2 linked regions of the Saccharomyces cerevisiae S288C genome follow. The protein of the gene in region 2 binds, or shares a complex with, the protein of the main gene of each other region. Links are inferred from orthologs where the notes say so. Each region holds a gene or a part of one and is shown on either strand. Other genes may lie near its edges. The genes, in order: RAD6 and BRE1.

What was found.
Region 1: the proteins of BRE1 (region 2) and RAD6 are in contact, whole or in part, in a crystal structure (PDB 7W75), measured with the Kluyveromyces lactis proteins. The link is inferred for Saccharomyces cerevisiae S288C from one-to-one orthologs. Residues at the interface, in XP_451665.1 of Kluyveromyces lactis: Ser17, Glu18, Pro19, Leu20, Thr21, Gln22, Val25, Ile26, Phe28, Gln29, Ala32, Leu33, Arg35, Cys36; in XP_452450.1 of Kluyveromyces lactis: Met16, Lys17, Glu18, Ser20, Met39, Ile41, Asp50, Thr52, Ser148, Trp149, Asp152, Met153, Glu154, Met156, Ala157.

The regions. Positions count from the first base shown.
Region 1 is NC_001139.9:391,705-395,011, reverse strand, and holds RAD6 (E2 ubiquitin-conjugating protein RAD6), read right to left. Parts: upstream 1,027-3,307; coding exon 508-1,026; downstream 1-507. Other genes in the region: GEP7 (Gep7p), read left to right, coding at 1-46; protein kinase PKP2, read right to left, coding at 1,314-2,789; YBP2 (Ybp2p), read right to left, coding at 3,022-3,307. UniProt on the Saccharomyces cerevisiae protein: E2 ubiquitin-conjugating enzyme that accepts ubiquitin from the ubiquitin-activating enzyme E1 and transfers it to a E3 ubiquitin-protein ligase.
Region 2 is NC_001136.10:323,436-328,194, forward strand, and holds BRE1 (E3 ubiquitin-protein ligase BRE1), read right to left. Parts: upstream 2,715-4,759; coding exon 612-2,714; downstream 1-611. Other genes in the region: AHK1 (Ahk1p), read left to right, coding at 3,178-4,759. UniProt on the Saccharomyces cerevisiae protein: E3 ubiquitin-protein ligase that mediates monoubiquitination of histone H2B to form H2BK123ub1 in association with the E2 enzyme RAD6/UBC2.

The sequences.
Region 1 (3,307 bases), on a different chromosome or scaffold from region 2:
AACGAAGGAGCTGCCCGCACAGAAGAGTACTGTAATATCAGAATAAAAAAAAATGGGGTCACTCTTCATTCTTGCAGTTAAAAGTGCCACTCACTCATGATTTTTTTTTTTCCTGTTTTTTTGATTTTTTTTATATATTATACATTAAGTTATCTAAGTAAATATATTCTTTCTACTCTAAATAAGTATTCCTTGAATCAAACACAAAAGATACGGGTATCGGCAGTTATAACCGATAACAAATTGTCCTTATTTCTCATTTCACGTTATTTTCTCCAAAGAAATTTATGGTAGAGCAGTGTTTCTTTTTAGTATATTATTTATATGCAATGTTTCTATCATTATTAAATTTTCTTTACGGTATAAAGTAGAAGATGGAGGAATAGAAAGCAAACGGATCGATAGAGAAAGAAACTCACGATGAAGCCCTATATTTGATTGAACAAAAAGGTAATCGAATTCATAATATCGGCTCGGCATTCATCATTAAGATTCTTTTGATTTTTCTCAGTCTGCTTCGTCGTCGTCGTCGTCGTCATCATCATCATCATCATCGTCCATATCGTCCATATCATCCTCCCAAGATTTCTCTACCGTCTCCTTAACTCTTTTGACGTACTGTGATTTATGATCTTTGAATAATGTTGCAGCTTCAACGTTTGCTGGCGAAGCTGGATTTGGATCGTTGAATAAACTTTGAATGGATGTCAATATGGATGCGACATCATATGTTGGAGTCCATCTGTTCTGCAAAATATCCAAACAAATTTCACCATTTGCATAGACATTGGGATGAAACATTTCACTCAAAAATTTGACATGCGGTGGCTTATTGGGATATTCTTCATCAAACTCCAACAATAACCTAAAAGTTCCGTCTTCATATGGAGTATCGGCTGGCCCGATAATCATGGCGTTCCATACCATGACGTTATCAGGTAATGGTGAAGCAGATACACCCGGTGGGGCATCTTCCTTCATACGTTTAAAATCTCTCATCAACCTTCTTCTAGCTGGTGTGGACATGACGCTTTATCTTTTAGTCTCTGTCTGCCTAAAAATAATCTTTGGAATTCGATCTTCGTTGATTTTCCACTCTACTATTTATGTCATCAACTCTGCAACTTGATAGTTCTTTCCTTTTTTTCTCTTACACATTCCATTCGCTTTCATTTTTATTTTTCCAGCTTTCTACTCCGGCTACCCGGAGGTGCCTTTTTGTATATACATACACTAATCCGGGAAATGTAGTCACCATACTAATATTCCGAATATGTATTTGTTCCTTGGTATATAGTGTAAGCATGGTTAGCTCACACTTTATCTAATTGTAGTTTCTTCGTATGCTTCATCAAGTTGCCTAATTTTAATACAACATCGGTACCATATCCAGGCATTGAATGCAATGAAAGGTCGCCGTTCCAATATTCAGCATACACTTTACACATGGCTAACCCAATCCCAAGCTTGTATCTAAAAGACCGCTTTAACAATTCAATTAGGGGAGTTTCATATTTGATGTGCCCATTTATGATGCTAGGATAACTCATTGGTTCTAGCGACGTGTGCATGTACGGTTTTAATGTTATTGACTGCAATGACTTCAGTTTGGAGTTATATTTAGTATGGGAATGTACTTCGTCATAAATAGATACTGTTTGTAAACCAGGTAACTTGTGAAAATTATTTAGGGATTCTTGAGCCCTTTCTTTCGATTTACCGAATGACCATAGATTTTCATCATCATGGAGGACGCCCCCAGCTTTATCTGAAATTCTAAACAAATAGGATTCATCGTTACTTACTACAGTTACTATGATTGGTTCCGGCTTTTCTAATCCCTTACGAATATAGTGTTTCATGGTTGCTTCGTAAGTATTTCGAAGGATCTCCCCTAACAAATACTTCAAATGTGTAGGCAAAAAGTAAAAGCTTAGTTGAGTGTCACCTTCGATAATAAATTCTGGCATGGGAATGTCTTTAAAGTACATATCTTGGATAAATTTTTGAGATTCCTCACTGGCTTCCAATAAATATTTTTTAGCGCTACATTCTTGAAAAATATCACCCAATACCAAGGTATTTTCCTCCTTACCACTAGTGTAGTTGGCTGTGATACTGACGTGTTCCTCTACAATCAATCTTCTTGATATTCGAGCTCTTAACAGATCAGATAGTAGTTGGTCCATTTTTTCACGAGGATAAAGATCCAAAATTGTACATTCTAAAGCCCCCATTATCAAATGTGGTAAGTTTAGAGTATTGAAGCCTTCTAGCATATTTTTGATAAAATCTGCAAATTGAGAAGCGTCCTCTAAAGTTCTTATAGTCGGATATTTTCTAAAGCTTTCAAAAATATTGTAATATGACTCATAAACTTGAACAAAATGGAAGTTGTTCACAACATTAAATGGAAGTTGTTGCAATTGATTTAATTTATGCGCGATCCTAATTACCAGTTCTTCTTTTACAAATTTCCCGGAATTGATGATCTTGGTTCTGGTCAGCTTGGTAGAATCGTCATAATATTGCGCTAACTGCGTTAATGATACTGGATTTGGACTTCGTTTTAAGTAATTTTCTACTAATACCGTTCTATTATGATAGTAATGCTGCGGATTGATATATTCGGAATTTGAAGGGTATGCCTTCATGGTTTCCATGATGTAAGGTGCCAATTCTTCATTTACGGGACCAATGCAGTATTTCGTGAAATCAGGGATCTGCGAGATATTAGATGTCCTGAGAAAGTGCCGGTATCTTATGCAATTAATTTGATACTTAGACATAATTACAGAACTATTTATCCATTGACCAATCTCTCACGATCTTCATCTTTTACGTACTTTCTGGGTTCCAATGCAAGTATCCCATCCCTTCCCTTTTTATTCCTTGACGATCGGGCGATGAAATCTGAAAAAAATGAAAGTTTGGATGACTCAAAACATAGTGTTTCCCTTTAATAGAATAATTCGATTTACTCGGGAACAAAAGAGAAGAGCAACTAATTTACTATGTAGTTTACGAGCGTATGTTCATCTCTTCTATATATTCTCCCAGAGTATTATTGGAAATGTTGATGAATGCTAATTCAGGCTCACCTTCTCCTTGAAATGATTCGGAGATTTCTTTATTGATGAGTGTTAACAGACCCAAATCCCATTTGTTCCTTAAACTAACAAAAAATTTCATATATGTTAGTACCAAGAGTAAATCACCTTGCGTTCTTTTCTTTTGCTTGGCGGCAGAAAAACATATTAAAGCAATGCTATGAATGGAAGCCATGCGATCTTCATTAATAGTGATG
Region 2 (4,759 bases):
ATAGACCAACGGAAAATTAAAATCTTCATCATTAAAAGTCCATAATTCATTCGCTTTCAGCAAAACATAGAGCAGCAAGAAGCTAAAGAAATGACAAGAACTATCGGCAGAGTGAACTCACTATACCATTAATCTTATCACCCGTTTATAAATCTATTCTTGTCCTTTCCAGTTGATATGATTCTGCTATTATCCTTGTTCCCCCCAAGGACTGCAGTAGAAGAGTTATGTTACAAATGTTGATATATATATATATATATATATATATATATGTATGGACATTTGTGATGAAAATATATCTTGAACAAGCGCGATTAAGGTCATAATAAAAAATCACAGAAAATTTTTCAGGTCGCGGGCGTTCTCTCACCCGGCCGCCCAAAGTATTATATGAATCTTTAGGGCTTGTAGGAATTATCAGCATGATATGTACAATTAGAGTTTTTCTTTGGAAACATGCGACAGTAGACGTCACTCTTTGATTCAGAAGTTAGGCTAGGATGTACGCAAATAAAATAAAAGCAATGACAAAACTAGATTTACATATATTATATGTATATGTATGTGGAGGATATAACACAAACAGTGGAAAAGTGGTAGAATAATTAGTATTACAAGTGCACTGTCAATAAATCATTGGAACTGAATGCTTTGTTGCATGTAGGGCATTTTCTCATTCTCGCTGCCAATCGTTCCTTACAGCAATTCTCACAAAAGACATGGCCACAGGTTTTAATAGCCATGTTTTTCCAATTTTTAGAACACAGGGAACAATAAACAAGTGTACGGAAATTTGCTAGTTCTTCTACGAGTGCTTCATCGCTCGAGCCCTTATTTTTGTTGTTACCACGGAACAATGTATCATGTAGTTTTTCACACTTGGATTCTAGATGAGATGCCTTCTGCTTGAAGTGCTTCAATTCTATTTCTGTATCATTTAATTTAGTTTCTAGATGCGTCATATCTGCAATGCTTTTGTTACTTTCTTCTTGTAGCTTTTCTAATGACCTTTTCAGTTTAGTGGATGTATTATTTAAATCAATTATTTTTAGTGTCTCTGTTTTACTGGAATCAATTAACCTGCGTTCATTATTTTGAGAAAGATCCAGTTGTTTATGTAAATTTCCTATTTTTTGCTGTAGCAATCTATCAGAGTCCTTTAACTGTAGAATAAGCTCATTTGATTTACTGAGGCTTTTAGAAAGAGTTTTGATTTCAATTAAAATTGAATCTTTGGACCTCATCGCGGCAAAATATTTCTGATCAGCCTTAGTTTTTTCTACGGTAAGCTTGGATATAACAGATTCGTGATTAATAATCTCAGAGTACTTTTTATGAGTTAAGTCGGATAACTCTCTAAAACCCTTCTCTAAGTCTTGAATTTCCTTTATTAATGCATCTTGAGTCGACGAGGATTTTGTATCGTTTGATCTTTGATCAATTTTTGTCCATTGCTCCTTCAAAATATCAATTGCATGTTGTAAATCGCTCAACACTTCAGTCTTGGATTTTTCAGCTTCCAAAATGGCGATTTTGCTTAGTAAATCATCACGAGCCGTTCTTATTCTTACAACGTCCTTTTCCAATGAACTGTTCATTTCTACTAGGGAGTCGAGACTTTTCTGGAATTCTTCTCGGACCTTCTTCGTATATATTTCTTTCTCTTTGGCTAAAACTTGAAATTTTGATAAAAAGGAACTATTGATCTCAGATAATTCTGCGTTTTGTTCAGTCAAATGTTGAATTTTTGCTAACAGGGACTCATGGTCATATGACTTGAAATCTGGGTCTTGGTCTGCTGCTGCTATCTGTTGCTTTTTTAAATTGGATACCTCAGAACGTGTTTTGATGAGCTCTTCCTCGTTTTCCCTTCTGATATTTTCAAGGTCTTTTATAGTGGAACTCAAGGAGTTTATCTCTGCCCGTAAATCAGAAAATTTCAGATCCAATTCTAATTTTTCATTCTCAGCATCTTCTTTTCGTTCATCCTCCGCCTGCACAAGTTCATCACCTTTCTCGGATTTTTTGGATGTATTATCACCATTAATTGCAGAGGAGTCTTTATTTCCAGATTTTATATTGTTTTCATTAGATTCTTTTTCATCTTCCCGTAATTCCTTTACAGCATCAGTCTTATCTTCCTTAAAAACACGTTTTATAGTAAAGGATTCATCTCTATCATACTTGCGAATTATATTTGTATAATATTCCTTCAAAGCAGAAATCTCCTCTGTCAATTGCGAATTTTCATAAAAGAGCTCCTCTTTACTTTTCCGCAAGTTTTTTAACTCCGTTGTTAATTCTTGAATATGATCCGAAGCATTACTATTAGTATTACTATCTGTCGTGTTTGGCTTCCCATATTTAGTCAGTAGCTTCATGAAAGAATCACTGCGCTGAACTATCAACGTCTCATCGCCTTGGGCTATTTCCCTACATAGTTGCTTCTCGTTGGCGTCTGTGCAGAATGTTTCGATAAACCTAGCTAAAGTTACTATCAGCGCCATAATATTTGCCAACTTGCGGGAAACATCTATGCACTCCCTTCTTGAAAGTTCATATTGCTTTCGCAAGGCTTCAAAGTCGACTCTTCGACGATTTATACATCTAAACAAAGCTTCTTTTTGAAACGCTATCACATCAGATTGAGTAAGCGGTTCACTAGGATCGCTTAATTCTAGCTTGATCTTCTTAGTAGCAGGCTCGGCCGTCATATCTGATTATTATCAGCTAGCACGATTAGCATAAAAACGGTGAAAGCCCTTTCTATCTCTGTTAAAAACCTTGGGGCGCTCTCTGTTAGTTTACCGTTCAAACAACATCCATCCAACTTTTTTTAATCTTCTTCTTTTTTGTTTTTTCGCCTTCTTTAAGAAAGTTTCGTTGGATGTGATTATAATCACGTGATCAAATGCTTTTGTCACTTTTATATAATAACGATGGTTTGATCAAAGTACGATCAGTTGGTGCTTCATTTCAAAGTTAGAAGACATCCTTAGTGCCTATTGTCGATCTGCTCTTTCTTTTTGAATCCACTGAAATTAACGATCTCAGAATTTCACCAGTGATTTTCCCAATATTATCTTTCGTGGGTAGAGAAACAATTCTGAACTCGATTGTGCTTCGTATGCTATATACGCATTGTTGTAGCACTAAAGATCATATTGCTCATTAAGCATGGGTCCTGCCATACATAATCAACTATATGAATGTGGATTAAAGACTACGTCTCAAGATGGCTTCTTGATGGACAATTATGAAACTCAATTATTTCAATCGTTGAACAGGTTTATCAATTTCATAAACAATGCTAATCAGTCAGCTAGTAATAAAGAACAAAATACAAAATTTTGCAAATCCTCCTCAAATTTTTTACGCTTGAAACTACTAACGGTTCTAAGACAATGGTGTGATTCTTCACGAAGCAACTGTACACTGGAGGTTAGAGATGTTTTGACCCAATGGTGGGTCACACTTTTAAACTTTCTAAATTCTGACACCTCGCTTCAAATAGATACTGCCCTTGAATTGAGCTTGAGCATAGAACTAACTTCCGTGTGTCTCGAGTGCCTCAGCAAAATTATGACCATACTAATAATATTGCCTTTCCATTCATCCAGAGACATGGAAATATACTCACATCATCTTTTGCTGACCATTCATTGCATAACAAACAAGTTGATTTTGATTTCTAAAAACTCCAAAAAACTTAAACGTACAAATAGTGATGACAAGTGCTCTATAAACGACAAGAAGCTGCAATACCTTAACAAATATTCTTCCTTGCTGCGAGCATTCATCGGGAAGTTAAATGCTTACGCATTTTTTTATCTACCAGAAGACTTTCATTTCGATACAATTTTGTTATTGACAGTTTCTCCTCAAATCTCTTCAAGTATTCAAACATCTTTGTTTTCATGGAAGAAGAGACAATATAAATTCACCGACGATCAGGGACAAATGATCCGCACTGAAGCTTTTGAAAATAAAGATACTAAATTTTTTAAGATCATTGTTTCTTATATTAAAAATGATTTTGTACTTATGTCATTTTATTGGCACTATTGGTATATCATACTTCAATTTATGAAATTCTCTGATTCAGATGTAGGAATTAAAAAATCGACATTGTCATGCATACCTGGCTCAGAAATTTTATTGACGCATGTAACCACTAGATTCTTGAATTCAGATTTGAATAAATTCACGCGGATTATTAAACAAACGCCGAATCCAAGGATAGCAAATGAGAATGTGACAGAGTCACATCCAAATTTCAAGAGTTTGAATAGTAGCAATGCTTTAATTACATCTGAAAGGATTAATGATTACGTATTTTCTAATTTTAAGACAATCAAATTATGGGAATGTCTTAGAAGCCTTTCAGGATGCATTCTTAAAGAAAATCATCCGGAATACCTGGAAAATATGCTTTCCTTACATGAGTCTCTATTGATAGACTATGTCTCCACTATTTCAGCGTACGATTATATTGCAGCGAACGTCATTTACAATAAGGTTCTCCAGTTTATTATTTTCCAGTTTGAAAGTTTACCTTCTCTGAAATTCATTCAATGGAGGTCGTGGTACAATGGGCTTTTGAGTATGTTAAGGACCAAAAATGTTAACTGCCAGACTGTTTCTTTATTATGCCTTTTCAATATTTGGAAGCACGTAACCATTGAGGACCGCGATGAAATAGTAAAAGTGCTGTTAAGTGATTTTTGGGAGTCATTGATTTTTGAAAACGAATTTCCTT